Drosophila melanogaster: one gene and its partners. The protein of the gene in region 2 interacts with the protein of the main gene of each other region in a pairwise test. Each region holds a gene or a part of one and is shown on either strand. Other genes may lie near its edges.

Region 1 (9,577 bases), on a different chromosome or scaffold from region 2:
ATTTTCAGAATCATTGTGTTTACTTAAGAAACATGCATATAATCCTGACTGTTGATTTATTTATATAATACTTTTTAAATATTTATTGTATTTATTTATAATGAATTGCAATTCTTGTCGTTATCTATTTAAATATTTGTATTGCTTCTTTTCCCTGTTTTGCCAAAATTTGATTATGGTAAAAAAGAAAATATAACTTATAATATTCGGACTTCGTTGAACTTTGATTTATTCTTATTTTAGAAGTGATATAGCTAATAAACTTTAAATACAAATACAAGAAAAGACCAATGAATAGTCACTTTTAATTCCGTCCGTGGACTTGACAATGGTTTTGAAAGTACTTAGTACTTATTCAGCCTTATCTTAACATTTTTGCAAAAAATCGCCAGAACTAAATTATAATCTCTTCCCCTACATATTTCTAGACTACTCTGATAACACTAGGCAATTATTCAAATATTCTTGTCGAAGAAAGATTCGCGTTTTTTTCAAAAATGTACGCAATCACGCACACTTAGAATGATAACCTCTTAGAACTGAAATATATTCTGCCTTTTATTAGCAATGCTATTCGCAGGCTTTTTCTAACCATCAATAGATATTTAATATGGATACACCTAGTTCATGTAAACCTCAAAGTCAAAGTCAAATGGTTTAGCCCATTTAAAGAGCTCGTTCAGTTACGACTTTGAATATTTTTGCGGTTAATTACTTAACGTGATAATGCTGATCTTAACACTGAGATGCTAGCATATTAGATTACCAAATCTTGTTAAAACCACACATCAAACTTGAACTCAATTGAAAATAATAAATGATCAATAACAATTGAATCGTGACGTCTTAAAAGTTATTATTTAGAAATAATTTCTTGTTGTTTTTACTTGAATAATATTTATGTTTTATATTGCGTAGTTTGAACTATTTCCTTAGCTTTGCAATATTTTCTATTTATACAATACAATGTACAGAATTAGTGAATGGCGTTCTGTCTGGAATTTAATAAATGGGAAATTAAATAGTCTGAATAATTTCATCAGATCTTTAGTTTCGTAATAATTATTGATTAAACGTACTCACTCCATGTAAAATTAAAATCATTCCCATGGTTCAAATAGTTCAAAAGCGTGGCATAATTTCCGAATCCATTCCAATTTCAAGTTCAAAGTTGTAGTGAGCGATAATATTGAAGTCATTATCTCTGTTCCCATTAGAATTTAGAACAAACGTGGCTTGACACAAATCGTGATTTTTGGCAAACTTAAAACGCATTTAAGTATTAAAAGTAAATAACTCCAGGCTATTAACCCAAAATTTATTTTGATTGCCTTAATGACTGGCGATCAAACGGTTCGAGTAGACGTAATTGATTCGCCCGATGCACGTTTGACTTGTGCCAATAAATCAATTGTAATGCTGATAGGCGCGTTAAATGTCTCCCTTTTAATAATTGCTGGCCCATTAAATTTATAAGGTAGCAAGTAATTAGCTCACTGAGCAATCCGATTAACAGAGAAATATATAATTTATGCTCGTCTTTACGAGCATATTCGGAAATTGACTCATATGAGTACGAGTGACCACAAAACATTATTGCAAAATCTCGCAATCTCAGTGCAATGCCTAGCCCTCCCATGAACATATGTAGATGCAAACCAGTTCGGTTGAACATACATATATGTATATATATATATATAATTATATATTATATAGAAACCGATCTATAAGAGCTTCGCTTCTCTGGACACGAAGTCTTATCACCATGCTGTCGGCTCCATCGATCGACTCACGTGTTGTCATTTATAAAACGATTACAATCCAAGGCATGAATGACACTCCAGTACCGGTGGCTGCACACGAAAGACACTCAAGACCCCAAGTAAAACTGGAACTGAAGCCGACCAAGCAGAACTCAACTTGAATCGATTGCCGGCTGTCTGAAGTGATCGGGCGGCATTACAAATCGTTGTATCAAATATTAGTAAAAGTGAAAGTAATTGCATACTTACAACATGTCATCCGCGTTGACGAACCTCTTGCAATCGCTGAGAATTGTGCCCTTGGGACATGGAAAGTCCAGTAATCAGGTGGTCGTTGTACCAAGCAAAAAGGAACGTTTAAAACTGGAAGATCTGCCGGAGATCGCATTGGAGGAGGTGGCCCAGCACGACAGCTTCGACGATTGCTGGGTGGTAATCTACGATAGGGTCTACGATGTGACACACTTTCTAAGGGATCATCCCGGCGGCGACGACGTCATTATGGATCACGCAGGGCGAGATGCCACCATCGCCTTCCATGGCACAGGACACTCGGGGGATGCCATCGAAATGATGAAGGATTTCTTGATCGGTCAACTGCCCACCAAGCAGCACATTTTTCGCACTGGCAAAAACAAGGTTTTGTCCCTGGGCATACCGGAATAATATAATGCCAGCCGATTTTGCACCGATCGCCTTCGCCGCCGTCCTCCATGTCGTATATGTCTATATATATATATATTTTTAGAGTATTCATCGACTAGTTTTCTAGTTGTAATCCGCTTATTTCGAATTCCGCTAAACGGCTTTTGCTTAATCATCAAAAACCATACAGACAACTATGTATGTATATTTATATGTTAAATATTTTTGCCAAGACTTGAAACGGATCTAAGATTATATTATTTTAAATTTGATTGTGCTCTTTGATGTTTGTTATCTGATGACTATAAATGGTTGGTTGGGTTGGGCGTGTTTGAGTATTTGAAACTCTTATTTTGTTTGTTTGTTTGATGATTCTGAAAAATGACAGGCTTCTATCAGTGCTGATGGGTAAACCTAAATGACCAAACCCTTTTCCAACGACATACTTTCTACTTCAATAATACTTTATTCGGTAATATTCATCTTACACATATTGGTTGACATTGGGTAAATGCATAAATAAGAAATGCTTATGACAAAAATAAATATCACTGAACAGATTTTCACTTGGCTGCTCTGATAAGAGGCTCCTTATCAACCTCCTTTCGTCTGACTAGTACACAAGTATTTGGCATTTGCTTTCCAATTGACTTAAAAGTATTGCTCATTAATGGATTGCTTATCAGTTGAACCATAGTTTATGGTGGCCCCCACTCCTATTTAACTGCTGCTAGTCGGTGGTTCGTTGTGAGGTCCTTGAAGAAGAGCCTGCAACTTGGCAGCCGCCGGAAATGCACCCAAATCCAGTGGCGCTGCTCCCGTGGTGCTTTGTATATAGGCCAAAAGTCTAAAAGTAAAAGCATATATGTTAATAATTCCTATTGAGCGTGGTAATGAACTACGTTACCTTCTCAACTCCTCGAGAGCATTTTGCTGCATCAGAATGTAGTTCTTAGCCAGCAGCAAGGTGGCTATTTTCGACAGCTTTCGCACAGAAGGCGAATGGGCATAGGGAATCACACTTCTCAGCTCATCAAGGGCATCATTCAAATCGTGCATCCTTCGTCGTTCCCGGGCATTTATGTTCAGCCTTACCGTCTTTCCCTGGCGGTTTTTCTGCTTGCCACTGTTGGAGCCACTTCCGCTGGCGCCACCACTGGACACGGCCACCGTGGTGGTGCCACCACTGATGGCAATGGCTGCGATGGCGGCGGCCGTGGGACTCAATGGCTTCTCCGGAGCACTGGGCCCTGGTTTGTTCTCATCCGTCGGTGGCTGCTGGGACATGCCCATTCCCTGGGCATAGAAACCACCCAGACCAACCGATCCAAGTGGCGTCCGACGGCCGGGGACGCTTTGTGGTGGGCTGGCGGTGGGTGCTGGATGCTGGCCACCAAGCATATTGGCTGTAGGAGGTATTGGCATGTGTCCGTGGTTGGGGAGACCGGGAAAACCAAAAGCAAGATTCGAGGGATCCATTTTTTTGTATTTTATGGGACTTTTCCAGCTGTGAAAAAAAGGTTGAAGGGATGTGTAATCTTTTAGGGTAGTCCTTGCAAATCAAAGTTATTATGATGCAGGGTTGCATAAGAAAACTAAAAAATAGGGGTGAATACTCGTATGCTCAGCTGTTCGGTAGCGCCATCTGTCGGAATTTTATGTATTTAATAGGTTAGCAAAGCTTTTTATAGGTGGAGCATCTGTTTTGTGTTTTAACCCGAAATGGTTTAACAAATTGCAAACGTCTGTCAGGTATTCCTTAAATTTAATTAAAGCAAAATAATCGTTAAGCCTTTCGGAAATTCAAAGCCAAAATATTACGCGGTAGTCAGATTAACAAGATGAATATAAGCTTATCAAAGCTTTTCATAGGTGGCGCTGTGTAGTAGTCCAATTTAAGGGATGGTTTAATATGATGTTTCATGGCGAATACAATTTTAGCGGCATTAAATTTATTTAGGAGCGCAGCACTTCAGAAAACAATAAACTTTAAAATTATACGTCAATATATATAAATAATAAATTTGGCAATTATTAACCCAACGAAATGGATTATAAAATATGCAAAATCGACGCAGCACTTTATTTAACTTGCAGTTAATTCATGACACACTTAAAAGATTATTAATTTAAATTAACCACAAATCACAAGTTCGCCGGTGTACGAAGGGGACGAAGAGCACAGAGCACGGAGAAAGAAATTGCGGATTTAAACATTTTTAAAAATCGCACGCACCACAAACCAGGCAAAAAATTCAGATCCTGAATCGCAATCGGAATCGATGCGCGAGTGTGAGGTGCCCGGCAACAACAGAGACGACCGCGATTTTGTGGTGGGTTATAGTAGTCGCATAACGATTTTCCGATTTTCTCCGCTCACTCTCTCTCTCTCTCTCCCTGCCTCCGCCTATGCTTTCCAATCGCCCGTCTCTTTCGCTCTGTCAGCGAGGATGATTATAAACTTTTTGCCACCGACGCCACCGTCGCCGTTTGGTGTTAATCTCTTTCTGCAGAAGGAATATTATGAGCCACTATATAAAATGTGGGTCGGGTGTCGACGCCGGTGGTTGACGTTTAGTGGTTGGGCTTCGCATAATGCAGCATCCACACCAATACATACAGCACGATTATTACCAATACTCACAAAGGTGAATGAGTCACAGTTTCAGCACTAAGAAAAAAAAATGATTACTAATGATCGAAACCTTTTTGAAACATAACATATAGCATCAGATATACCCTACACAAAATAATAATAATTTCTAACATAAATCTAATCTGCTATTGAAAAGTTAACAATTACATATTTGCATTTAAAAATGGTATAAAATCATACTAATTAATAATCTATTCATTATTAATCATTATTTTGTATATTAAATAAAAGTCTGCATTTTTCAATTGGTTAAGTAATAATTAACTATAACCACACTTGATTGTAACGAAAACCAAAAACTTTTGTTATCTCTCAAAGTTGCATTTAATTGTTGAATATTATTTAGTGCAGTCAAATTTTTTACAAGTGTATGAAGTTTTTAATGCCTTTGCCCTGCCTGTCCGAAAATTCACTTTTCTTGTTGTTCAGGATTTTTATCGCTTCGCTCCTTTTCAACCCTGATGGCCCATCACCACCCCTCGCACCCTGAATCCGCCGGGTCCGCTCCTTTGTCTGTGATTTCAATTTCCATTGAAACTGAATCTAATCACATGCTCACTGCCTGCTGATCCTGGGCCGCCTGGCCAGTCCTGGATTCCTGTCCTAGGGGGTTGAACGAGGAACAAGGACCACGAATAGCCGTCCATAGCCCGTGCATCCTAGTATTTCGCCTATATGCCCATATACAGCATAGCTCAGAGGATGCCGCATCTGCATGGCATTCTCTACGTGAGCGAGTTTGTGCGTTTGCGAGTTGCCTGGAAATTATGGTATCGCATTGTTCAAAGCTGGAACAATGCCATAAATGGCACATGCCAAATATTTTCGTTGGCAAAGGCATAAGCTAGAAAAAGGTATGGAAAATGATAGGAAGTGCTAGGCAGATCTAGGCCACATATTTATTTATTTGATTGTATTTATTAGTTTTAAGCAATCTTTGGGTGTGGGTATATTTTTATTAATTTAAATATAAAAGGACACATTTTTCAATTAAGAGTATTATAAGAGTGTTTTTCAATTGAAATATTTTTTGAAATATTTAGAAATCCGCTGTTTAAATGACAACCTAACAAAATTATCATGAAAATCAAACATTTTTTTAAAAAGTCGTCCGATGAAGATTCTTTGTTAGTGCTGCTCTGATAAATATTTAAAATCAATCAATAGAGAATTTTTTTAATAATAAAATTTAATCGAAAAAATCTGTGAACATTCTTTTTTTTATCGACTTGTAAATTGTTAAGTCAAAATTTGAAATAATTTTTCGAAGATGCCTCTTTTAAAGTTATAAACTTTGTTATTTTACAAGTTCCATAGCTAAAGCAGATGTTTATTATCCAAAGCCAGCATCTCCATCCTCCTGTCAACTGCAATGCCCACTAATGACTTTCCACACTTCGGGCCTCGCAGGACATTTATGTATAAGTGGCGGAGTGTGTGTGCGTGGAGCTGCCTGCAGTCGTTTAGTCCTTAGAATAAGTCAAACTACGAGCACGGGCGACAGACCTAATGACTTCGCGCATGATAAATTTAATAATTTGCGCTGGCAACTTTTCCATTTGGCCTTTGTTTGCGCTTCCCTCCTTTCGTAGGGAAAATTATTGTGTCAGATGTTCGGGGCAGCAGTCACCGTATGCCATTATTTTCAATGAAATCCGGAATCTGGACAGCCCCTCTAGGCAATGCACCATTTGCTGCGTGATTGTGAGAGTTTTTTTTTTTTTTGGGTTTCGGGCTCGGGATCGGAATCGGGTATATTTGCAATCGCAGTGCACTCTCCCTTGTTGTAATTGTTCTGGGACTAATTCAGTTTATATATGCAGCATTTACATTGCAATTTACGGCGCTTCAGCTACGGCCAACACAATCATTTCGACTTTTCAACCCCGGGCCAGCCGAAATTTAAATTTTCGGTTTTTTCATTTTATGGCCACATTTTTATCAATCCATATACATATATATGGGCATTTGTCGCTGTTCCGTATCCGGGTTCCCGGATCCCAGGTCCGGCAAAGGCAATGAGGAATTTCATTATAATTTGCATAATTTATGCGCGACCGTGATTTGCATAATTAAGATTTGTACATTTGTGCATGCCAGTCATCATTAGCTTAGGTTCCGCACTGCGGACCAATTGTAAATGGCCAGCCCAGGGATTTTTTGGCTCGTACCTCGTGATCCGTCAAAGGGTTGTCATGGGTTAATGGATGACCCTCGAACTAAGCCACCGCGGGTATGGACATAAGTGGCTCTATTCATTTTGTGACGCTGTTAACTAATTTTATTAAATTATTCAATGTACTTTTTAACTATTAATGCAGTTTTTTAATATATCACAGTAAATATCATGGAAAATGCTTTTGAACTTTAGTTTTAAGGTATCTTTCATTCGAGCTTTAGACAACTTACAACCCTGACTTTTTCGTCAGGCAAAATTACAAATGCAAAAGCCTGAAAACCCCAATTTAATGTTTGGGTATGCGCAAATTAGACAAAACCATAGAATCCTTGGCTCTGTGGGGCCTTGGCTCGAACTAACGGCACTCCATGGGGCAATGTGAATCAATCATTAGCATTTTATTGTTGAAAAACCAATTGGGCACATTTATGAAGAGGCTTTTTCTGCCCTCCGCCCTGGCTTGTCCTCTCTTCGGAGATTCAGTTGATTCCTGGATATACGAGCATGGCTTCCTAACCTTATTATCGATGTGCTTTCGTTATATTGGCAATATTTATGGCAGCCATGACGGTTCGCCTAATGATTCCCCAGCGTATCGTTTTCAAGGTAGCACTTCCGATCCCCAGGCCACAGTCACACACACACGCACACACACGAACGCACTCCTGGCAGTGCCATATTTTATTTTGTTACTTTTATTGGCAGACGTCAACGAAATACAAAAAATGTGCCAATTGTACGCTGGGGAAATCGCTGCCGACTTGCGTTCAAAATAAGAAGCGAATGAAGATATATTTATCGCTCATTTCCGGCTTGACAGGCTTGATGCCCTTTCGCCATTTGCCATTTGCCGCAAGTTCTTCAAGCCAAGATAAACTTGGCCCATTTAAGCTAACAAAGGCAAAATACAAAAAGCAATTGGAAGATTTTGTTTTATTGGTATGTCAGAAAAGGAAAGATTTGATGTCGGCTTTGTGTGCAAAAATTGATAAAAGTCCATGATTTTCTAACCTTAGACGTAACTTGCTCAGATTTTCATCTTTAATTGTTCATATTGATGCAAGTTACCCACAGATTCTTAGTATAGGTTCTACAAAAGTATACCGCTTTGGAATAAATCCCAAAATACTGTGCGGTTCGCTTTGTTTTAATGTAATTCCCGTGAAAGCCATCACACTCTAAATTATTACCGATTTGCACACAAAACGTGGCTCGGAAAAAAGGAAACTGTAACGCACAGAATTTGATTTCGCCACTTTGATAGGATTTCTCATCCATTAGCCGAACTGAATGGATTGCGTCGAGCTCTTATTGATTACATCTAATGCCCATCATATGCGCTCTGCGTACAACCAAAAATAAAAAAAGAAGCGAAATAATAATAATTTCAGACAAAGGGCGAAGCGTGCAATATTTTATCAAATTATGCGATGTATGCAACTTCCTCCGCAGTGCGAATCCTTAACACCCCGCTGCCCACCCAGGCGTACTTACAATTTATCAGCATCAAATGGAAACCAAACAGCGAGGGTGAACCTGAACCCAGGACTTTTCCAGAGAGAGGGGATTGGGGTGGTAAGCCAGCTACAAAACAACAATAACAGTGCCGGAGCAATACCAATTCGAATTAAAATGCTGCTGATGCTGGGGCGGAGGACGAGTCTGAGGATTCGGCACCACCCCCAAGGGTGGAAAAGGGGTTGTTTGTCGGTTTCCCTTCGGTTCTTTATTCTGTTCGCTTCTCTTTTTTTTTGTTGTTTTGCGCGCGTTGTTGCAAATGGATATGGAATGTTACACAAACAAAAAGGGAGCAGGGTGGCCGTGTGGAAGTCGAAAAAGAAGAGCTCGAGTCCAAACCGAACACCAAAAGCAGAAACAGGATGGAACAAAAACACAAAAAAAATCGCAGGCCCGGACCACCACGCACAGGACACAGAAAGGACCACGCAACCGGGAACCAGGCGAAAACAAAGGGCACAACTTTGATGCGAGGGCCGAGGGCACAGGACGAAGGACGATGGTCCGTGGGTGGATCAGTAGGAGGAGACGCAGTCTGGATGGACCCAACAATGCCCAAGTACAGCTCGATAAATGTCAGCTGAGTCACCTCAGGGTCTCTGGACTACACAAATAGAAATCATAAATCATAATCATTAAATAAAACAATTTACAGGTGTCTTCAAGTCCATATTTTTGCATGTTATATACAAATTAATACTATTTAATAAAGTTATATGATATATAATAACAAAAGAATATAATAAAAGTAAGTAACATCATACTTATATAAAGGCTTTATATAAACTTAGTTTATAATATAATATATTATAATAT
Region 2 (12,950 bases):
AGGCAAACGCTTTGTCGCACACCTTGCACACGTAGGGCTTGATGCCACGGTGAACACTGATCGGAAAAAGAAAAGTTAGTTATCTCTGTCCCGAACTAGGAATATATTTAAATGGCCCATTTTGAGGCCTCTCCGTGAGAATAACATTTCTACTCACTTTTCATGAGACTTGAGAACACTTTCGTAGAAGAATTGACGACTGCAGAAGCTGCACTTATAGGGTTTGCTGCCCGTGTGGGAGTACATGTGCTTCCTCAGTTGCTCGCGCACCTGGAACTTGGCATCGCATAGTCTGTGAAGGCGGGATTAGGGTTATCGCTTTAATATGAAATTTACCGACTCGACTTACTCGCATGCATATTGGCAGATGCCGTCATGGCGTCTGCGATGCTCCATCATCCGGCCGCGCTTTTCGTAAAAGTTTCCGCAGACGTCGCAGATATAGCCACCCTTCTCAGTGCCGTCCGATGTTGTTAGGGAGTTTAATCCGCGACGAACCCGGCCGCGCCGCGCCTTCAGGCTTGCCTTGGCCGCCTCCTGCAGCGCCAACTGCTGCGATGGTGTCTCTTCGTACTGCTTCTCAGACTCCAGGACGATCTCGGTCTGATCGGAGTTCATCTCGATGGTGTAGTTGTCCTCCAAGTACTCGATGGTGTCGCCAATGCACTCCTGCTGATCGCTGGTGTCCACTTCCAAGTACTCCTCGTGCCCCTTTTCTTCCTGGTGCTCCTCTTCCCCGGTGGTGGTCTCCTCCAGGATGTACATCTCCTCGTCGCATTGCTGCTGCGAGCCGTCCTCCTCCTTGATCATCATCACATCTGATTCGTCCAGCAAGCCCAGTTCCCGGCAGTACTCCTCAATCTCCATCTGCTTGCGCAGCGCCTTCTCGCGAAACTGGTAGGCCATGTTGAGTTCGACCTTGCAGGACTTGCAGATGCCATCGGGTATGTGTTCTCTGTCGTTCAGCTGCATGAGGGATGGATGGATGAATGGTCAGTTCGCATTGCCAGCTCTAGCGATTCACTTACATTGCTGTATGAGACTCCCAAAAGTTGAATCAACATCTCGTTCGGCGATTCCTCGCCTTCCTCGCGGATCTCGTCTAGGCGCTGCAGTCGCTCACTCTGCGCCAGGCAGACCCGGCACGTCTGTGGGGTAAGCTCGACGCGCATTCTGGAATCCTGCTCGAAATTTAATTTAAAGAACCGCTCGCGTAGTATTGTAGTGTTAAAATTTGTGTTGCTAAAGTGTTGTGTAAAGCGACTGAAAAAAGAAACGAAAAGACATCGCCATTTTCCTTACCAGGGCTGCATAGCATCGGCGAACACGATGTGGTTCATTTTGCTGGTTCCGGGAAGCGGATTTTTGGTTAAATATCTGATAAACATGTTTGCTGCTTGTGACAATACATTGGAAATATTTGTTCCTTTAACCATGGCTAAACGATATGATATGATAACTGAAAGTATTCCCCAGTGTGCCTATAAACACAAACAACTTGTAAAATGAGAAAGAAAATATTAATACTTCAAATATTCAAATATTATGAAAACAATTATATATATATTTATATATTTCTTTCATATTTACGTATATTTAGATAGAGTAAAGAATTCAATCATAAAAATACCAACGTCTTACATTAAATATTATTTAAAAAAAGGCCTAATGCGCTTAAATTTGCCTTATCAATAGAAAATATTATGTCCAATACTGACAATACATCTCACCAAAGATTTAATTTAGCTAGGAACCAGTTCTCTATGGCTCATTTTTTTGACCAGTGGCGATAACGATGACAGCAAGATCACTAAAAGACTAGCGTTGCATGTTTATCATATACAAGCTAACATTGCGTAAGGTGAATCTGCAAATTATATACAAATTATTAGTAATTTACTCATTTATTTATGCGAAATCGCAAATACAACACCGTGTTTACATCCGAAAGCTCTGGCAAAAAAAGCACATTTCTTAATGCAGCCGTCTGGCAACGCCACATATTTTTCGAGACGCAGAACGCAAGATATTTTCTTATCTCTCGTTAAAAAATGGATTATTTCGGTTCAATCGGTGCGTATCTGGGAAAATCGCATGCTCGTTGGCAGTAAAGAACGCCACGCACTTTCACGTCCCACGCCCAGCGCACTCCCGCCTGACGGGAAAATGGGAAAGCAACTATATCTGGCATCCGTATCTTCGTCCGTCGCAGCCGTCAAAATGTTCGTCGCGCCAGTTATCGACTCGGCAATCTCCATCTCCTAAGGCACACACACACTCAATAGAACGCAGTCCAGCACTCACACAGGCAGCCACCTACGTAACCTGGCAGCGGAAGCGCCCTTAATCTTGGCCAGAAACCACAGCAGGCAGAAAACAACGAGGGAGCAGCAGCAGGCGGAGGGAAACGGAGGCGCCGCTAGCACTAGCACCTAACATGTCCGAGAAGCACGGCCAGCTGGGTGCGCAGTGGACGAAATCAGCGGCGCCAGCAGCAACAACAGCACCAGTCTCCAATTCCATTCCCATACCTCAACCGATCCCTGTGGCACTACCCCTCCAGAAACCCAACGCCAATCCCTATGGGAACTGCAGCCTACAGCCCGCGGATATAGTCTACAGCGCAACCAGATTTCAAGGACCTGCTATCCATGCAAAGGGCTCTCCTTTGACCATTACGCCCGTGGGCCCTGTCGGCGGAGCACCTGCCTCTGCCCAGATCTCGCCCACGAGTCACACCCATGTACCTGTACCTGTAGCCACGCCCAGCGGCTTTGTGCCGCCTCCGTTTTCCAATGCCACCAGCGCCAGTGGAGGTGTCTCCACTTCCGTACTTACTCCGAATCCCTTTGCCACGGCGAGTGCAAATGCTGCTGGCCTGGCCTTTGCCAATGCCTTCAGCTTTAGCACAGCCCAGCAACTGGGTCTGGGCAAGATCATGCACGCTATGGGCGGAGCTACTGCGGGAGTGCCATCGGCGCCAGTACCAGTCACCACGACTCCAGCGACAGCTGCTCCTTCGACCCCAACAATAGCTGGTCCACGGCATCCGAACGAGGGCGTTCCAGCGGCCAGTGGAGTGATAAACTCCACCATTGCTGAAAACGTAATGAATGCTTTGAGCAACTCCAACTCAGCGGGATCAGTTCCCAGTGAGGAGAAGATGAGAAGGGTGCTGCAGGTGATTGAGACCAGCTTGGAGTAAGTGTTGTTTGAAGAATCCTATGTTTATCCTTGCTAATTTGTGTGCGTCTTCCCGTTCAGCGACAATGCGAAGCTGCAGATTTCACAGATTCTAGAGCGTGTCTCGGGACTAAAGCCCATTGAGAAGCTATTCCTCTATCTTCGTTTGCCTGGCGAATGCGCAGACACCGATCCGTTGAGGCAGCCACAAAATCCACTAGGAACGCGCTCGGAGATTAACCATACCATTAATTGGGTGCGTTCCCATCTGGAGCACGATGCACAGGTCTCCATACCAAAACAGGATGTGTACAATGATTACATGTGAGTTCTTTTCATTCTTATTCAAAGCATTATTGAAACTAAGACGGTAACAGTGAAAATGTATTTCATTCATTTTTCGCTTGAGAAGTCTAAATATGTATTGTATATACAAAAATGCTGCAAATCAGTTGAATAATCATACTATTACTAGCATTTTTTTTTTAGCATAGCCCTAAAATTAATAATTGGTTTATTTCACCATTCATTTATAGAGCTTATTGCGAACGCCTCAGCATCAAACCTCTGTCCACAGCAGACTTCGGCAAGGTGATGAAGCAGGTATTTCCGGGCGTTCGTCCTCGGAGATTAGGGACGCGTGGAAACTCTCGCTATTGTTATGCGGCAATGCGGAAAACCACCAAGCTGACGCCCCCGCAACTGCCGCAGCTGTGCAAGACGGAGCAGATCGTAGCGGGTGATTCCAATTCGGACCCGAGTCAGCTAACTAGTGCCTCCAGTTTGGGTGGCTTACCATCGACAGGAGGTGACTCTGAGTGCTGGGATGTGGTGCGCAGTTGGGCAGAAAAATTGCTAAACACTAAGCTAGAGAGCGTTGCGGATCTAAGCTCCCGTATCAAGAGCAACAATGCAACAGTTTCTACAAAAAAATACACTCCTCGGGAGCCCAAGGAAAAGCGAGTTTTAGCAGTAAGTATTAAAATATTCCCTAATTAGAGAGTCCTAATGCAGTATTCTTTAACAGGACATTGGACCTTTGAAAAAGCGGCGCAAAAAGAAACGCAAGGGATCCACGTCCTCGGAGTCCAGCTGCAATCAATTGGTAACTGGCCAAGACGCGGGTAGCAGCCAGGAGGCCAGCGACGAACAGATACTGAAGATCAAGCAGGAGATCATCGACTCACCCATTCATCCCCAGCAGCCTCCAATAGGTTATCTACAGCAGGTAACGCCCATGAACCTAGCCACAGATCAGCGAAGCAGTAGCGCTGTCCGCAACCTCACGCCCAAAATCCTGGAGATGGGCTCGCCGGCCGTAGTACTCACCCAGCAGGAGGTATCCCCCACGGGCATCGTCATAAAAGATGAGGTGGAGGACTACACCTCTAATATTTTCTGCAAGAAGGTTTTGAAGGCGCAGCAGACAAAGGGATTCTGGGCGAATTCTCCAAGCAGTGGGACAACGAGCGGTGTTGGTTTACTGGTTCCACCTACGATCACTACAACCTCGGCCACACCGCCACCGCCAAACTCTGAGACATCCCCGGTTCCGGGACCTGGACTTTCCATGGGCCCACCCTCACAGATGATGAGCACCAGTTCGGTGAGTCCGTCGAGCACTGTGGACACCACACCTAAAGTGGCCTCCCGAAACCAAATGATGATTCTGAGAGCCAAGCGTTTGATGGCAGCGGAAAATGCCGCTTTGGCAGCCGCCGAAGACTCTGGATTGCCTGAGAATCTGGGACTGCCCAGGGAGCGAGTGATAAGCATCTGTAACATGGACAAGCATGAGCTGGATGACTACTTTCTACCAGGCGAGGACGAGGAGAACTCCGAGGAGCCCGACAACGAGCTGCTCCAATATTTTCAGATGGGAGACGCTGAGGAAAAACAACTGAATTCCTTGGATGCTGCCGAACAGAACAAGAATCCACAAGAGCCACCGACGATGGGCTCTGCACCGGAGGCGATGCCCGCCCCCGGACGCGGAGCAGCAGTCGTCGCCGCTGCAGCAGCGATGCTGGCGCCGGTGCCGGCACCTTCGATGTTGCCCGCACAGGCAGGAGTGGGTTCTGCCTCAGCGTCTCTGGCCCTAATGTCAAAAAAGCATCAACAGCAGAACCAGCATCAGAACCTGCAATTGCAGCGTTCCAAGCAGCTGCCGCTTATCAGTAACAACAAGAGAAAGATCAGCCTCAGCAACGCCTCCAGCAATGGTAGCAACAAGAACTGCATTTTCCTACCAATTTCACCAAACACCAATGGATCAGTGACTACACCAACAGCCACAGGGTCGTCGAATCCCAGTCAAAATTGCTTCGCTAGTCCCGGGTTGACTCGGATGAAGCAAAGACCCAACTTGTTGAGCAAGCAGCAATCACTTGACTGCGACAACCGGGATCCCATGATAGGGGCTCATCGCAAGGGTCGAGGATATGTGTACAGCTACCCTACAAGCACGTCTGCCTCCGCACCACCGAGTCCATCGATTCTTCCCCAATGGATGTGTAGAAACTGGTCGCTAGGAGGCGGCAATATATCCAGCTTTGCAGACAGCAGCCACAGTGCTGATCCGCTGGTCAATCAGAACTCAATGGACCTGGAGACAAGTCTGGCGCTCACGGGAGAAAATGAGTTAGATACATCGGAGATGCAGCGCTCACAATCGGTGCCGTTGTCACAATTGCAACGGAGAGGCAGCCAACAATCGCCAAGCTTGAACTTCTACTCGGAGAACAGCAACAGTCAGCAGTCTGCGCCTCTAAAAGAAACAGGATTACTGTACGAGGAAGTGGAAGTAGACTCGCTTCTCTCAGCGAATTTCACCAGAAAGTTTAACAGCATAACCCAGCAAACAGCAACAACCTGCAGCTCCTCGGCGGGCTCATCTTCCGGGTACAGTAGTGGCGGCTCTGCGGGAATTGTTTCGCGATCAGTGCCCTCAACTCCACTGCCACATCAACAGCAAAATAGCCTCACATCGTTGAATGGAGGCGGTGGTGCAGCGTCCAGCGGAGGAGGTGTCATGGGAATCGGAAATGGGGGCAACTGTGGCGTCGGAAATGGTTTCTTCACCATCTCTGACTCGTTTAATTGGGAAGGATCTACGTCCAATAACAGTCAGTTGGGTTACGCACACTCCTACAGTGCCCGCAATTCACTAGACATATCCAAGTCTATGCCAACGACGCCCATTGCAACTCAACGTTTCCGATACAGTCCGGCGGAGGTGCACCGCGATTTCCTCATAAATGGCAACACCATCGATAGCTTACCGTCATCTGCCTTTGCAGGAGGAGTTGTTCCGACCGATCCTACGCTGGCACTCAGCACGGACACCCTCATCGACGACAGTGCCCCGAGCAGTGCAGATGTGGTTGAGGCCATGATTGGTGTCACAGGCATACTCGACGATTTTTAGAATTTGCATGAAGAGAAAGCCCAGGGGGAGATCGAAATATCAGAGCAGCAGGAGCCGGATGCGGTGGAGGAGAACGAGGTTCAGTCAGCTGCAAAAGAGGATGCCAATGTGGTGGCCTGTCTGCTCCAGCATGTGGACCAATTGTAAATCCCACTATCATCCGCCTACTGCCGTATTGATGTCTCGTTTGATTAGTTTGTGTGTTATATATTAAGTAGTCCTTTATTATTGTTCCTGTTCCGAGTATATGGAATTTCTGTTTTGCCTAGTATGAACCGAAACTCGATATAATTCAGAAACTGGTTCATAAGCCTCTTGACGTCCCCCGCACATGAGCTTTCTCTTCGTGCCACGCGCTAGCTAAGAAACCCTCAACAAAATCCAATCTTCCCTCTGTTTAAACTAATCAACAGCTTAACTGTGCCTCTTATTGGTTTCAAAAGTGTCCAACATCATTAGAGGTGTGAGCTTGAGCCGACTTCTTTAATCTAACGTTACCCTCAGGCCTTGTTGTATGTATGCAATTGGCATATTGTTATAATTACTAAACAATAACATTAACACGCTGATGACGATGGTGGGGCAGCCAGTCCGTTGCTGCCCCTGCTGTATGTAGTGCATAGTTTTATTGTTGAACAACATTACAAATGAAACGAACTTAAAGTCTGAATGAAGGAAACGTGTGCAGCGGTTTTAAAAACGAAACAAATTTACAAAATGTATCTGTAAACGAATGTACATCTAGAACTATAGAACCAAACCTCGGCGCTCGACGAGTTTGTCTTCCTGCGATCCTCGGTTGTACATATATAAGTATATATATCTATATATTTCTAGAGGGATTTCCACATGGATTTTAAAGTGGATCGCAGGGAGCTAGACTCAGTTCAAAATTGTCAAATTTAAATGTGTGTTTGTATGGTGTTGTAAGGTATCGAGAATAACGAGCTTCGTCAATTGTTCATCGACTGGTTGGGCTCCTAGGTGTAGTCCTTTGATTTTTCTTATCCAACTCCGATCGACATATTCTATTTGTTACACTATATCTTTATCTGTCAATCTTGAAAACATTTAATTCTTCTATTAGTTGTAAGTGTTTGTTTGTTATAACTGTTTACTGTATTTGTTTAATTCGCGTTGGTCGGTCCGATCTGCGCTTAGTACTTTAGTTGTCCTGTAAATGAATTTCGCACATGTGTAATTCGAGTCTTCTAATGCCTAAATTTCTTGTTGAAATGTCGTTTCTTGTGCCCAGTTTACTAAAGTCTTTATTTTCGTTTTAGCGCTTTGAACAAAGTTTAGCCTTAAATCTTCTTATTCATAATTCACATTGCAAATGAATGTTAATTTGTTTGTAAAACAAAGTAAAACATTACCGCTAAGCTATTTTTGTTTTTTTAAAACATGATTCCGCTTCTGTGACCAGATGTTTTTAAAAATGTAAAGAAAATAAATCATAAATGTGCCTCAGGCTTTATTGTAAAACAATTATATACCACAACAAAAATATAGATACAACCATACAAAGATGCATTAAAAATAAAAAGATAGCTACGTATACACACTTAAATAGATTATTAGAACGTTATACGAGTATAATTAAATATACACTCATTTACAAAAGGCAAGGATAGGGAATCAAATAAATTCGTTAGAACCTCAGATTAAACAATAAATGCATATTTATAGTCAACAGGAATACCAATACACAATAACCAGAACAGCACCCAGCCTAAAATAAACATTGTCAGCTGAATTCTAAAACTAAAAGCAAAACTTTTAACGATTATTTATTTTTAAGCAGCGCCACCTACCCCGCATACCGCTTTGAACAACAACCAACAATATACGAGTAACAATAGCAATAGTCCTAAGGTAAATAAGTAAAACATATTGTCACCGGGAACACTTTAGAGGAGATATATGCAATTATACAGAAACAATGCATTCAAGTTAAACGAACCAAAACTGTACTTTTTTATAAGATATTTGAATGACATAAAATACAGATAACAGAAACGAAAATGAGAGTATTTATTGGCTTGGAAAAATGTCTTGTTTTTTTTTTTTAGCTGTAAGGATATGGATATTCATTCTATAACCAAACACATTCATTGTTGCAACTCACAAGCTTGAAATTATTTCGAATTTAAAAGATACCAGGACGACATGCAGAAGGATTAAAATGAAATGTTTGGAATTTAAAAGTAAATTTATACAAAATATAATACTAAAATAGTATAAGGTGCGGCTTTTTATACCAGTTACTTGAATTATCTTTTGAACGGATTTCAAAAAATGAAGTCTCATCTGAGGCGAATTTTCTAGATTTTTTTACCCGATGCTCGCAGAGTAAAAAGGTACAAGTATTTATCAGCTAGAAGGAAAAGTTTCTAAATCTTATTGATCAAAACCACAAGGCGAGTTGATCTGTCCATATCCGTCCGCTTTTCCGTCCGTTTGTCGGTCCGTATGAACGTCGATCTATTGGCAACTATTAAGCCTTTTTTATCTTCGAGTCCGACCCACATAGCATACACCAGGATATTCGTTAATTATATGTTAATATTTTTTATTAAACGTTTAGGTTTAAAATAATAATATGCAATTAATATTTGTTAAATATACATAATAATACCTTTAATTGTAATATGCGTGTGTGTGCTCACTTAATGTTTTCCACTGTTTCTTCTCCATTCGAGAGTTTTACTGTTACGTTCTTTCTTTGCCGGTTTATACATTTTACATGTAAATTTAACTATTTAAGATTATATTATTTTATATGCATTTTACATGTTATTTATTTACTTGCTCAATAGCGCCACAATAATATTTCATTTCCTACAACTTTTGTTGGGATCAGTATAATAATTTACGTATAAAAATCATTTTGCGCCTTGATGTACAAACTTCTGTCTTGACTGTATGTAGGTATTATTTTATTTACTCTTTTATTATTCATATATATTACACTACGCTAATAGCACATTTGAAATTCCCTTTATTCGCTATAAGTACTGTTAATCATATAAGTTTTATAGTTCTTTATGTTTTGCTAAATATTTGTGGGTTATGCTTGTTTATTAAATGCTTGTAAATCATTTATTTCTCTGTTTACGGCTTAATTGGTTTCCTGATATTTTTAGCTCCCACACTGCTTGCTCGTATATAATATATATGTATGTATATATCTTGTATATGCCTGCTATAATATAATATAATTTATAAAATTGTTGTTTATCTCGCTGAGGTGGAAAATTCTTTAATTTATAAGGTTACTTGTCGTTCTGCTTTTGCTGCTGTTGCGGTTGCGAATGCATGTTGCATGTTGCATGTTGGTTGTATACGTTACTAATTCCACTACTTCAGTTTAGTTTTATTGTATTGCGATTATTATTTAAAGTATTTGTATATCCACTGCTTGCTACTTGAACACCCCAGTACATCGAATACCTATCTTTCTACACGCGAGCTGAAATATAAAAAAATTAAAAGTAATAAAAACGCCTAAAAACTTTCTAAAGATAACTTTAAATTGCTTGTGCCAAACTTGGATATACTTTCTGTATCGTAAACGTGCTGCTCAAAAATGTAAATACATCGCTAAGTCACTTAGCGCAAAGTAAATATTTGCTACACTGACTTTTTATTATCCTTATGTACATTTTATTAATGGAAGCAACTTCCCTTCAATCTATCTCGTCGTCTCAAAAACTGGAAAGGGTTTGGAATTTTAGGGTTGGTCCCAATTCAATCTCGCGAAACTCGAACAGCATTTTTGTTTTACTTTTCTAGAACAAAACCAAGCGAACAAGAAGAAATAATGAACACAAAACTAAATCGGTGTAATTAGTTTACAATTTTATTTTGAAATAATAAAGACAAAACATTCAACTTATGGACAAACGTAATTAAACAATAGTTCAAATTAAATACATAATCATAGTAATTGGTAATCGGTACAAAGAAATCAGTAACATTGTTCATCAGCGCAGTTGCGTTTTTCCGGTTCAACGTTATAAAGTATTACGAAAAACGTCCCTAGACTAATTAGAATTATTAATGAAATAAAAACACACTGGTGAAAGGGGAGCTGTTGGATAGTAATTATCAAATAAAACAAGGCAATTGGAGAGCTGGGCCTTACAATAAGTTAGCTAGTCATACACAATTCATTTAGTTAAAATTACAAAAAATCTTTTATCAAATACATTACAATTCCGAGGATCCGGGATCCGATCCGTCTGGACCCATTTACAAATAATCTGGCTAAAAGCATGAAAGCTTTGCATACTTTTCTGGATTTCTCTCTGTCACGCTCCATTCAGCAAATTGAACTAAATTAGTTTACTAAATTAATTACTCGTTGTGGTGGCTGAGTTGTTGTTAATGTTCATGTTGTTACTGGCGGCCAGCAGCTCGCCCGTTTGGCTCCGACTGTCCATTGACCAGTCCCAGTCCTTGCCCTTTGGCCGAAATTTGGATGACTTGTGATGGTGCTGCTGCTGATGGTTTAAGCCCGTGTGGTGCGGTGAAGACTTTTCCTTGGGTGACTTTCCCGATTTTCCCAAGAGCGGTGCAGGTGCTCCGCCCACAGTATTGGGAGCATCCAAGTTAAGTGGCCCATTGCCCGCTGCATCTGCTGCCGTCGGCGGTGCACTGGAGTTGGAGTAGGCCAGCAGTTCATCACAGTCGTACTCCCAGTTTCTTTCGCAGAACTTCTTTTTGTAGTGCTTTTCCGAACTGGTCTTGGACTTGCGCTGGTACTTCAGAGGTATACCACCTAAGTCCCCGGACACGGGTGGTCCACTGGCCAGTGGTGGAGTGGCCACACTGGCTGCACTGGGACTGGGAGTTCTGGGCAATCCAACGTCCGAGAGTGGCGGCGACTCGATGGCACTGGGATCCACTGGCGACACGGTCTTAAGGGAGCTACCAGCATGCAGCGAGGAGGATGCCGAGGATTTCATGCTACTGTCGCTCATGTGATCGGAAAGATGGTGCTGCTGCTGTTGGTGCTGCGCCTGCAACTGTTGCTGTTGCTGATGTGGGTGGCTGCCTCCGCTGCCGCCAATGCCAATGTTGTTGTGCTGGGCATGATGGTTGTAGAGGCTGTTGCAGCTACTACCACCGCTTCCTATGGGCAGCTCCAGCTGCGAGGAGCTGGACGAGGTGGACAAAAATGTGCGCACTGCATCTGAGTTGCTGCTGCTGTGCGTAATGCCCGAGTCCGGAGACGTGTTGCAACTAATCGAGGCCGGCACGGTATCGCCATCGATGCTTCGCCTGGTCTTATCCAATTCAGTGCTGGCGAAGGCCACGAGGCGGTCGAAACCAGAGCTGACTCGATGCTGCCAGTGGGTCTCATCATCAGCGGCAATAACATCGTCTGTGAAGAATTAGGATAAAATATTAGTTTTATCTCGCTAACGCGACCAATACTAGTGCGATTTTTAGATTTCGTTTGGGTGATGGTGATATTGTGAGTTTGAGTGGATATTTGGAAAAGTCAATTGGAAAGGGTGATAACGATACACTGGCGATAACGCGTGTTGTCCTAAGCTTTTTTCATATTTCATTATCTTTTTGGTACAGCTGCATTGCGCGTTGCGTGCAGGAGGGTATGTTCTTGTGTTCATTTGTATTAATGGGTGTTTTTGTGTTTTATTTGTTTAGTGTGGTGATTGAATGTTGAAACAAAGGAGTTACGTAATGAAAGTAAAATATATAAATCATAATTAAAAGAAAGAAACCAATTAGGCGCAACAGAACTTACCTCATGCTCGTTAAATTTTCATAAATTTTGTTCGGGATTTTTAAGTATATATATATATATATTTTTTTTTTTTTTTGGCATATAAATTCTGTACTTTTAGTAGGTAAATTATTAAACGCAAAAATTAAAAGTTGTCTTTTGTAGGTTGTTTCTGATTTGAAATCTTTGTTTTTCATCAGGTTTTTTGTACTCTGCTTATTATTTATGGTTATTACAAGATCGTATCTTCGCCCAACAACAAACATGTTTTCGGTTTTGCTTTTTGTTTAGTTTGTTTGAGGAATTTTGAGGTATGCAAGTCAATCAATCAATCAATTCAATTCAATTCAATTCAGTTCAATGCAAGTCAATTCAATGCAATCGATCATTGGTTATTGGGGTATTGTGGGGCAACTACTACTACTATCGGCCATAACATATCCGTTCAGATTTTGATTACTATGGGCAGCTGATAGTTTCGTTGGGCCAGACAAAGTCGTGCGAAGGCGACGTCTGGGATCGTAATTAGTTATAGTACGTTGCGTTGCCAAATCGTTAACTGTATGGAGTAGAGCATAATAGAAG
Region 3 (9,864 bases), about 23 Mb from region 2:
GATTTCATAATGTGCGATTTTAATTAGCTCCAAATAGGTGTTTACCCACTAACTGAATGATTAGCCGAAGGTCCTGGGCGCAGGGAGCTCAGTTGGCCAACTAGCGCACCGGTTAAACGGGTCAATTAATTAGTGGGCAGCGTGCCAAGAACCAGTTGCCAGCGATGAGTTTACACGGACTGCTTCGATTAGTATTATTACAACTATTTCGCTCAGTGCTGTTGCACTGCCCACTCTGTTGCAATCTTGTCACATTGCGTGCCACATAGTATCTATTTGGACTGTTTTGCAATGAAGTTCGCTGCCTCTGGGCAAGATAAGAGTGCTCGGATAGCCCGTGGGCTGGGTGAGGCCACCTCTTATGACAGCTTCCAAACGCTATTTAATTACTCAGGTGCAGCGCAGCAACAACAGCAACGGCAACAGCAACAAGCGCAGCAGCAGCAACATCTACAGCAGCAGCAACATCCAACAGCAGGCAGCTCAAATTAGTTGAACTACCAATTGTCTACAAATATTTAGCAAATGTTTTCTCAACCTAACAGATACACACCACCACACACACACACACACACACACTTAGCACTCCCCCCCTTAACGACCCCACTGCCACCGCGTTTAACCCATCACCATTCGCAGCACCAGCACCTTCGCTTTGTCTGGCCTGGTAATTTAATGCAAATAAATTTTATTTACCAAAACATACATCAAAATGTCTGCGCCGCCACACGCCCCCTCGAAGGCACCACCCCCCCTCGCCAACGTTGCTGTGTTGCATGTGTGTATTTAGTACAGCGTATGCACGTTAGATGGCGTGCAGAATGCAAATATTATTTTAGCTTTTGACTCTTTCGGCTTGGAGCCTTGCAAATGGTGTTAAAACGCATGCAAACGGCCCCCTTAACCCCTCGCTGCCCACTTATCGACAGCACCGGGTCTTCCTTAACCCTCTTCTCGCTTTTCGCCAACCAGCAGCCGTCTGTCAACGTTTAAATTGCTGCCGTTGCTGTTGAAAATTGCGTGTTTTGGGTGGGCGTTGCTGACATGCCACACCCACCGTTTTGGCCAGGTTTTCTCGCCCTCTCTCTTTCGCTCTCTTGCCATAAAGCATAGTGTGCATGTGTGTGTGTGCCTGGCTCTATGTATTTATGCAATGACTCCCAAGTTGTTGCTCGTTTGTTCAGCTTGAAAATTAATTTCTATAATGGCTGCCAAGAATTGCAGCTGCAATGCGTGGTGGCTGAGTAACAGGGGCCGTCGAGGGGTTAAAGGGGGCAAAAATGGGTGGCATGTGCAGCATACGTGACTCGACTGCGCTTGCAATTAGTTAAATTATGAAGGCACAAAGGGAATTCCCCATATTGCAACACGAAGATGCTAATCAAATGGCAGGGCAAAAAACCATACAACTTCAAGCCGACTGACTATGTGTGTGTGTGTGTGTGTTCCCTCTAATCGATGGTAGCTTAATTTAATAGTCCATGAAGTAGCCGACAAACGGTAGCCAAAAGATACAACCTGTATCTACCAGTTAAGCATTTGCCGAAGGCACTAAGTACCTAACACTTGACATAATGCCGCAGAAGATAGCGGCGCAGGTCAGAAGGGAAACCCTCCGGAAAAACAGGGGATCATCAGTCCACAGAAGACAGCAACCTGCTGCGCTAATGAGACACGCTGAACACAGGAACCAGAAACTGAAACCGAGACTGAGGGCCAGAAAACAACACAAAATAAAAAAACAGCTGCCAAATGATACGAAACGAAACGAAATGAAATGAAATGAAGTTGTTCGACTGTATTTTATACACATGCAGCAGTTGACAGCCAAATGACAAAATAAGCGGCAAATGTTTGGAATAGTTTATTCATCTCGGCATCTTTATAGGGAAGGAACGAAAGATAGCTCAAGTGGTTGATGAAGGGCGGTGAATTGATGGCCCACATCGAGATTGATTTATATCGATTTGTTGAACAGTTCCCTTTTGAAATATTTTGGAATTTATGAAAGCACTTTTAGAGATGCAGTTCTGGAATTTCATGTATTAATAGTTTGAATGAGGCGGTAATATGGTAATACTCGAACTAACCTACTTTAAAGCCCAAATTTCCTAATACAACACCCCATTTGAAGCCCTTTTTTTCAAAACACAGCCGACAGCTTTATAAAACAATGCTTTGTAGTGGCAAGAAAAACCCGAGCATATGCAGCAAAAACAGGAACAATAGTTGCTGTTCTGCATATAAAAAGCAAATTTACACTTTTTTGCCCACCGTTTTTGCACCGCCCTTTCCGAGTTTTTCGAATGTGTTTGAGCAACTTTAAGGAGCGGAAACGCAGAGTTCGCGATGGCCGAGTAAAGTTCACATGTCAGTCCGGCATCAAAGTGTGACTTGTCGAGTGTTTTCCCCGATTTTCCACCAGTTTTTCCCTACGACCCGCGGTGCTTTTTGTCCAGGAAATGCAGGCAAAGTGTGAACTGTGCATGCAGATAGAGATCGCCCAGTTAAACAGCCAGACTCGCTTCAATTAGTCTGGCTGGTCGGTTAGACAGTCCGCTTTTTACGCGCTTATTATTAGATTTTCCAATTCGGGAACGGTAATGGGGGGCTGGCTGGCTGTCAGACCGGAAAACACCGAAAAACGCCGCTGGCCAGCGAGTGCAATGAATAATCAGACGTGGCCAATTGAGTCAAATCAGAACCGACGCGACTATCATCAGCCATCAGCCATCATCATCATCATCATCATCAAATAATGGGCCCAGCGCAATCAGGCAGTTTTCATTGTTTTATTTAAGGCCCCGCAATAATTGCCACGCACTTTGACTACAAACTGCAGTCACGATCACTTCCATTCCATAGCCATGATGACGATGACGACGAGGTGGCCATGATGGAGCACCCGCAGCTCGCGTCCGACCAGGAGCGGAGAGTCACCATCGATGCCAATTAAGGCGAGGGGCGGCAGTTAATTGAATTAAAATGCGACACAAAATGGTGTAGATAAAGTTGCCACCGCACATGGGGCATAAAACAATGAGGGGTGGGGTGGGTGGTTTGAAATTCCTCCATTAAATAAATCGTTTTTGAATACACATCGCTGGCTGCTAATGGGGAATTTGCTCCCAAGCGGAATTCGCGTATTTCTATTGTTCACGGGTTCAGAAGTTCATGTTTATGGGTTTACAGTTAATTATAAATAAATATATGAAATGTAACTATATATACACTCATATTTACTTTGATGTTAAGGCTCTAAATTGAAAATATTTTCGAAAGAGAGTTGAGGTTGTTTTTATTTTTTTTGAAGTAAACCTTTTGAGTTCTATATTCTCTCCTATATATATTTTTATTTTCCCATTATTTAATTATGCCCATGCTGAATCCTCCATTGCAAATGAGTTTAAAATATCGCTTAGGACAGGACAGTTAAGCACATGTAACAGATAAGGTTTATCATTTCCCCTCTAGGAAGTACAAAAACCGAAAACAAGCTGACAAAAACCCCACAAAGAACTGGATAACGACACTTACCTCCACCGAATCCTGCTCCCGGAAACATGCCAGGCGGTCCGAAGGGCGGCATTTGTCTGGTTCCTGGCCACGGAACTCCACCGCCCATTCCCGTCCAGGCCACCGCCGCGGCGGCCAGTGCACTGAAGGGGGTCGGGCGGATGGGCACATGACCGGAGGCCAGGGCCGCCGGGGAAAGTATCGTGGATTGCATGTGAGAGCCCGGCGGCGGACCGTGCGGCGATTCCAGCGACTTGCCGCTGCCGTCGAGGCCGTCGGGCGTGGAGCGCGGCGAGTCGTCGGCGTTCATGTCCTCGATATCCACAATGGAGTCCTCCTCCTCGTCGTGATCGGCCTCGTGGTCCTGCAGCATCTCCTCGTCGTACTCCAGCTCGGAGTCCGTGTGGCTGCCCAGCGGCGAATGGCGTTCATTTTTGGCGGGAGTGGAGGCCACATTGCCCTGCGATCCCAGTGCGGATCCCAGTGGCGTGGAGCTGGGCGTGGAACTCGTGGAGGCGGGTGGCGAGTTGGCCCGGGCGTCCGCCTGCTGCTGCTGTTGGCGCAGCTGGGCGGCCATCGCCTGGTGCTGGGCATGTGCCGCCGCAGCCGCGTGGGCGGCCTGCAGCAAGTGGGCGTGGTGCGCGACGGCGGCGGGATGGAAGGTGTTGGCGGGAACTTGGGCGGCCGCACTGGCCGGCGGAGGCGGCGGCGTGCTGCTGGCCTGGGAGATGGGCGAGGTGGCCGCCGAACTGGTCAGGTTCTGGGGTCCATCCGCCGCCTGGTTGGGTGGCGTTCTGGGCCTCGTGTCCGCCAGGAGAGAGGCCACACTAAAGTTGCTCAGTCGGGAGGTGGTCTTGTGCAGATGGTGGGCCGGCGGATGCACTGCGGCCAGCTGGAGCGCCGCCGCCTGCTGCTGCTGTTGCTGCTGCTGCTGGTGTTGCTGGTGCTGCTGCAGCAGATGCTGCTGATGGGCCAGCAGCAGTGCCGACGGCGAGGTGGGACTGGCCAGGGCATTCAGGCCAGCCGGGTGGCTAGGACTCAGGTTGGTCAGGTTGCTGCTGGTCATGTTGCCGCTGCTCATGTTGCTGCCGCTGTTGCTGCCGCTGTTGCTACTGCTGCTGGTGATGATGAGGTTACCCGCGGGAGTGTTACTGCTCGGCGGCACCGTGGGACTGGTCATCGTCTGGCGCAGACCTGTAACTGTCATGCTCGCTGGGCTGAGCTTTAACATAAAGCCTTTCGATCGTTTGTGTAACTGTGGCTCGTTAATACTGTGCTTTAGGTGCGCCGGTTAATTGGTTCATTGAGACATGGTCTGCTGTTAATTTGTTTTGATTATCTTTCAATTAATGCGCTCGTTCGTCACACGCTTGGGAAACACAGACACACACTGTCACACGCGGCGTTTTGTATCTTTTCAGGGGCTATTTATTTCCAGAGAGAGACACGTCCTCTTGAGATCACGTCTGTTCTGCGACTGAAACTGTGGTCGCAGTTTCGGATGCACCGCTGCCTGCCACACAGATACTCACTCACACCGACGCACTCGACGATTGGTGGTGGGAAACCGGCTGTGTAGAGCGTGCCTCTCTCTCACTCCCGTGGTGGAGTGCACCGCGTGCGACACCATTTTTATTGGTTTCGAGACTAGCTCGCTCGCTCTTTTTTTCCGGTGTGAGTCTTGTATTTCTCCACTTTTCTGACTTTTGTTCCGCCTTCTTTTCTCTTTCGCTCTCGCTTCAGTGTGGTGAGTTTGCCGCACTCTTGCCGTACAGACAGAGATGGTGTAGCTGCCCCGCAGTATAGCCGTCCCTGTCGCACGCCTAATTATTATTGAATAATTCAATCTTCAAAGCGTTTTTCCACTTTTTTTTCGAGCTGCTGCGCGTATTAGCATTTTATAACAAGCAGCGGCGGCAAACGCCTGTCCATTTCCACTTTGGTTTTCTGGCTTTTCCTTCCATCTCCATTTTCCCTCTATCTCCCTCTTTATCGTTTATGACTTCATTTGGCCAAATTGGCGTGATTTTTTAAGCTTTATGTACGCCTAATATGTACATATATATGTATGTATATATAGACCAGGCGGTTTTTCAATTTTAATTGGCACTCCTACATGTCCTTAGCGTACAAGAACAATATAATAAATAATAAGCCCATCATTATCAGGGCCCCAAAAGCATCAAATGTCGGGTGGAGCGGCATTATCGCAAAGCTGCAATCTCGGTCAGGAAATTATGTTTTTTCTTCCCTTTTGCTCCACCTCAGGAGATAAGCCATAAAAATCGGATCGGTCCACATAAATCGAACGTCCCGGGAACCCGGCCGAATCAATCACATACATATAAATGTGAAATATGCAGGATTATATAGAATTTTGCCAACCCCCATAAGCTCCATAAATTGCAAGGTTGGCGGGTGGAGTGAGGGAGGGAGCGGGAATACCGCACCCTTTATAATTCTCGCTCTACAAATTAAACTCATTTTAAGGATTATTATGTGAAATTGTTGGCTTGAAAACTTTTGCCAGCCATTGTTCAGCTGCTCCTTTGTTTTCCGCTGCTCGAAGGACCAAGTTGTGAAAATGGGAAATGGGCGTCGGATTGTGCGGGTTCGCTCGGCTTTTCGGGCGGCAAGTTGGTGAAAGGATTTTAATGACAATTGCCAGTGGGTGGAAAATAAAGAGCTCAATTAGAACAGTTGACGAATGGCTGTGTGGTTGCCTTAATTAGTTGCAAACGATGCTGAAAATGAAACGACTCTGCATGATTGGGGAAATTCTAGCCAATTAATTTGAGTTCTTGCCTAAATGGGTTGGGTGAAATTTAGAAATATTTTTATATAATTTCTGAACTTTTTTCAAACTCTTTCCGAAATCGTTTTTAATTACACTTAAAAGAAACCAAGACAGTAAACTCGTTTATGAACTTCTCACATTTCCCAGCCATTCAATTAACACTTGATATACCTCTTACCACTTTTCCAACGCCCCTCTTGACTGATTAAAATTTTTCCAACTTCCCAAAACTTGAGCTCTTCATTACGATGCCCGGCAATTCCGCTTTCTTTTCAATTAAACATTTCGAAATGGCGGCAAAATGCGATGAGAGGCCCCTCAGCTCGTTAATATCATTGTCTGCGTCTCGTTTTCTATACTTTGTGCCGTTGGCATAAACAATTATAGCCAATTACAAATATTAATTTCTCAGGCCAAGCACGTCGAGCGTTTCTTCTTTTATTTTCCACTACTTAACCACCATCATTATTCATTGCGCTTTGAAATACGCAAATGAGCGCCGAAAAAAAGCAATACAACAACGAGGCGCAAATTAATTTTTCAATAAACATCATAAGCGAGCTCCAGCCCCCTCCACTCCCCCCACCTATTCTCGATCCCACCACTTCGAGATGAAACGAAACCGGCAAAAGCAGCAGCAAGTCGGCCAATAACAAAAGCACCAACAAAGTCCACGCTTCGGCCAAGTTGGTCATTTGATAAATGGCCGCCGATTTGCGTGCGTGCAGTGATGACTGCGATAGATTTTAAAAACTAGCTAATAAAATATTAAAAAATATATTAAAAAAATATTCACCTTATGTGACTAGAAATGTGCAATTTATGTTTGCCCAATAAAGTTGTTATGTCTTGCAGTGAAACAACAAACAAGAAATATTATGTTCACTTTGAAATAACTTCAGAAATATGCTTTAGAACAGATTCTGTTAATTTTTGAAAACTTTTAACTGAAACATATTGAAAACTAGCTAGGTTTGGCTAATAAAAAGCCTGCTGCCCAACACTAAGTGCGTGGATCGAAAAGATCACGTCGTTTTCCTCACTTTCCTTCCCCGCAACGAGCGTATGTAAATGTTTTGATAGTTTTTCATAATTTTTCGAATTTATATATCCCGCCGACCGATTCCGATTCCAGTTTGATTGTAGAAGCTATGGCTGCGGAATGAGAGGTGGGGCTATTTGGACGTATATATGTAGTTGGCCATGATTGAGTGGGTGTGTGTGTTTGTGTGTGGGTGTTGCATATTTATGTGGGTTGCCGCTTTGCTTTGTGTGCCTTTTTTGTCAGGCAATTAAATGAGAATTTGGTGTTTTATTGTGCAATTAATTCCGAATTGAATTGCATAATTGTTTGTATCCGAGAGTGAGCAATTACCCAGTCGGCAAATTGTTTATTATACCAGCTGGAAACGAGAACAGCGCTAGATTCTGTTTTATTAATGGAATGATCAAATTTAATAGTTTCTTTTACTCGTATTCAAACTAAAGGCACTAAGTCATTAACATTTTAAGCACTCTTCTAATTAAATAACTCAGAAAGAGATACAGCTGCACAAACATCCTTTTCCAACGATAATTAGCAGCTCGCCGAATTTAATTCCGTTCCCCAATTTTCAAAGGACCTCCTAAACGACGCTAATTTCATAGCGACCCAGCCAGCAATCCGCCCCACAGAGGGCGGCACTGTGCCAGGACAACCAGCCAAGCGGCGCATAATCAAAATTTCATTATCCTTGCGATGCGTTAAATCGCTTAAACAGGCCGAAAAAGCGAAAAGAGCGAGAGAGCCAACCAAGCCACCCAAGCCACCCCAGCCACCCACTCCACCCACAGAAATAACCTTAGCGGACCAGCAAACAGTTGACATGTTGACAGTTCAGAAATTTCCGAAGGACGCAGGACGAGGCTGTTGCGAAACTCGGCTCAATAAACGCCACAGCACAGGACGAAAAGAGATGGTGGATCCTGGGGATGCGATGCTTTTCGAGGGGTTGTTCGCCGAGTAAATAAACCATCCCCTTGCAAAACCCTGCGGTTGTCAGTCAGTCATTTAGTCACAGCGGCTGTTGTGGCAATTGCGGCTGCCTCACACAGATACACACCCATACAGGGCCATTCCACTGCACACACACACACAATACTAAACGATGGGGTGTTGATGATGGCGCAGAACGCTCGTTTATTGAATTACATCCGCATGGCTGAGCATTTAACGAGCTCTCGGGTGTCGTTTTGCTGATGGCGTAAATGTTTGGCAAACAACAAGCAAATAAATAAAGTTCTGATTTGGCACTGATTGCCTTCGGTGGGTGGGTGGATCTGCGTGGATGTGGGCCCAATCGCTGGCTGGCTGATTGACAGCGCTCTTTTGCTCTATTTTAATTTTTTTATTTCACCCTCTTGGCTTACACACAGTCAAAAAATAATTAACGTAATAATTTTTAATTGATTTTAAGTGATTATAATTAGTATAATGACAATCGTGTTTAAAGGATGACTTAAAAAAGAAAAGACAAACAAGAATATTTTGAAGTTAGATAATAAAAATATGATTGAAACATATAAGCTATTCAAAGTAAATTTTCTTGATATAATTATTCATATATTTCTTTCTCTGTAGCGGCGAACAAAAAAGCTGGTCGTGCGTCGCAAACTCGTTTATGATTATTATTTTTTGCTGCCATTTTTATTAATTCATTTTGTATTTACTCTATTTATTCAACTTATTCTATTTATTCAGTGCGCTGCGGTGCGCAGCGTATTATGCCCACCCTAGACAGCTTCTTATCTTCATTGCCGGCATTATGTGCGATAAGCGCAGGACGACGACAACGGAGACAAGGACAGCAAGAAGGACAAGAAGGACAACGAGGACGACGCTGGCAAACAAGAGGGAAAATGCCACCCAGCCGGGAATTATCCACCCACCCCGAGCGCCAAACGGTTGGCCCATAAAAATGTAAATCAAATAAATTTACCTAATATCAAATTTCCCCTTCAGCTGGCAAGCTAACAAGGCAGCAACCTCCGCTTTTCCTACCATGATGCCAGGACTTTACACCCTCTTGTCAGCCTTCCAGTCCCATGCCCTTTTCCTTTTCCCCCCTCCGCCAGCAGCAGGAGCATCAGCATCATCATCATCATTCACGCTCATCCTTTATCCGCTCGTTTAACAATCGTTTAATAATTTAGCCTGGTAAATAACACTAGCACTAACACTCCAATCCCGACCAGGCCCAGCAGGCTTGCCTTTGGGCTTGGACTGGGTTTGGGATTGGGTTTGGATTCGGAATGGTGCGATGCTGGCTGTGTGTGTTCTTTGGGCTTTTCTTAGCATGCGCACAGTGGAAACTTACTGGCGTGTTTATTACCACTAAATGGTATTAGTTGGATGGCAAATATTATCATTTGCAATGATATAAGGATTCATTATTATTTAACCGTTTCTTTATCTCAACTTCTATCTATCTAAACTGAATTAGTTTGTATTTCTTATATGGTATATTATATTATATTGGGGTGAATACAAGAAACTAACACATTTCATTAGA

Evidence for each region.
Region 1: the proteins of CG9727 (region 2) and Oli interact in a two-hybrid assay, tested with the Drosophila melanogaster proteins (one large-scale study listed by BioGRID).
Region 3: the proteins of CG9727 (region 2) and Dr interact in a two-hybrid assay, tested with the Drosophila melanogaster proteins (one large-scale study listed by BioGRID).

Annotation. Positions count from the first base shown.
Region 1 is NT_033779.5:17,584,550-17,594,126, reverse strand, and holds Oli (olig family), read right to left. Parts: upstream 4,944-9,577; 5' UTR 4,548-4,943; exon of another isoform or gene 3,916-4,547; 5' UTR 3,888-3,915; coding exon 3,316-3,887; intron 3,256-3,315; coding exon 3,129-3,255; 3' UTR 2,860-3,128; downstream 1-2,859. Other genes in the region: Sytalpha (synaptotagmin alpha), read right to left, coding at 1,794-1,803; CG6870 (uncharacterized protein), read left to right, coding at 2,016-2,429.
Region 2 is NT_033777.3:6,445,509-6,458,458, reverse strand, and holds CG9727 (uncharacterized protein), read left to right. Parts: upstream 1-1,782; 5' UTR 1,783-1,861; intron 1,862-1,951; 5' UTR 1,952-2,437; coding exon 2,438-3,201; intron 3,202-3,264; coding exon 3,265-3,507; intron 3,508-3,719; coding exon 3,720-4,155; intron 4,156-4,210; coding exon 4,211-6,610; coding exon of another isoform or gene 6,611-6,757; 3' UTR 6,758-8,515; downstream 8,516-12,950. Other genes in the region: Zif (Zinc-finger protein), read right to left, coding at 1-56, 158-292, 350-966, 1,029-1,172; gpp (grappa), read right to left, coding at 10,966-11,999.
Region 3 is NT_033777.3:29,551,519-29,561,382, reverse strand, and holds the start of Dr (drop), read right to left. Parts: upstream 4,998-9,864; 5' UTR 4,748-4,997; coding exon 3,538-4,747; intron 1-3,537. UniProt on the Drosophila melanogaster protein: Plays a key role in the specification of proneural and promuscular cluster formation. Required for the specification of dorsal and lateral muscle progenitor cells. Regulates development of peripheral nervous system derived from lateral neuroblasts.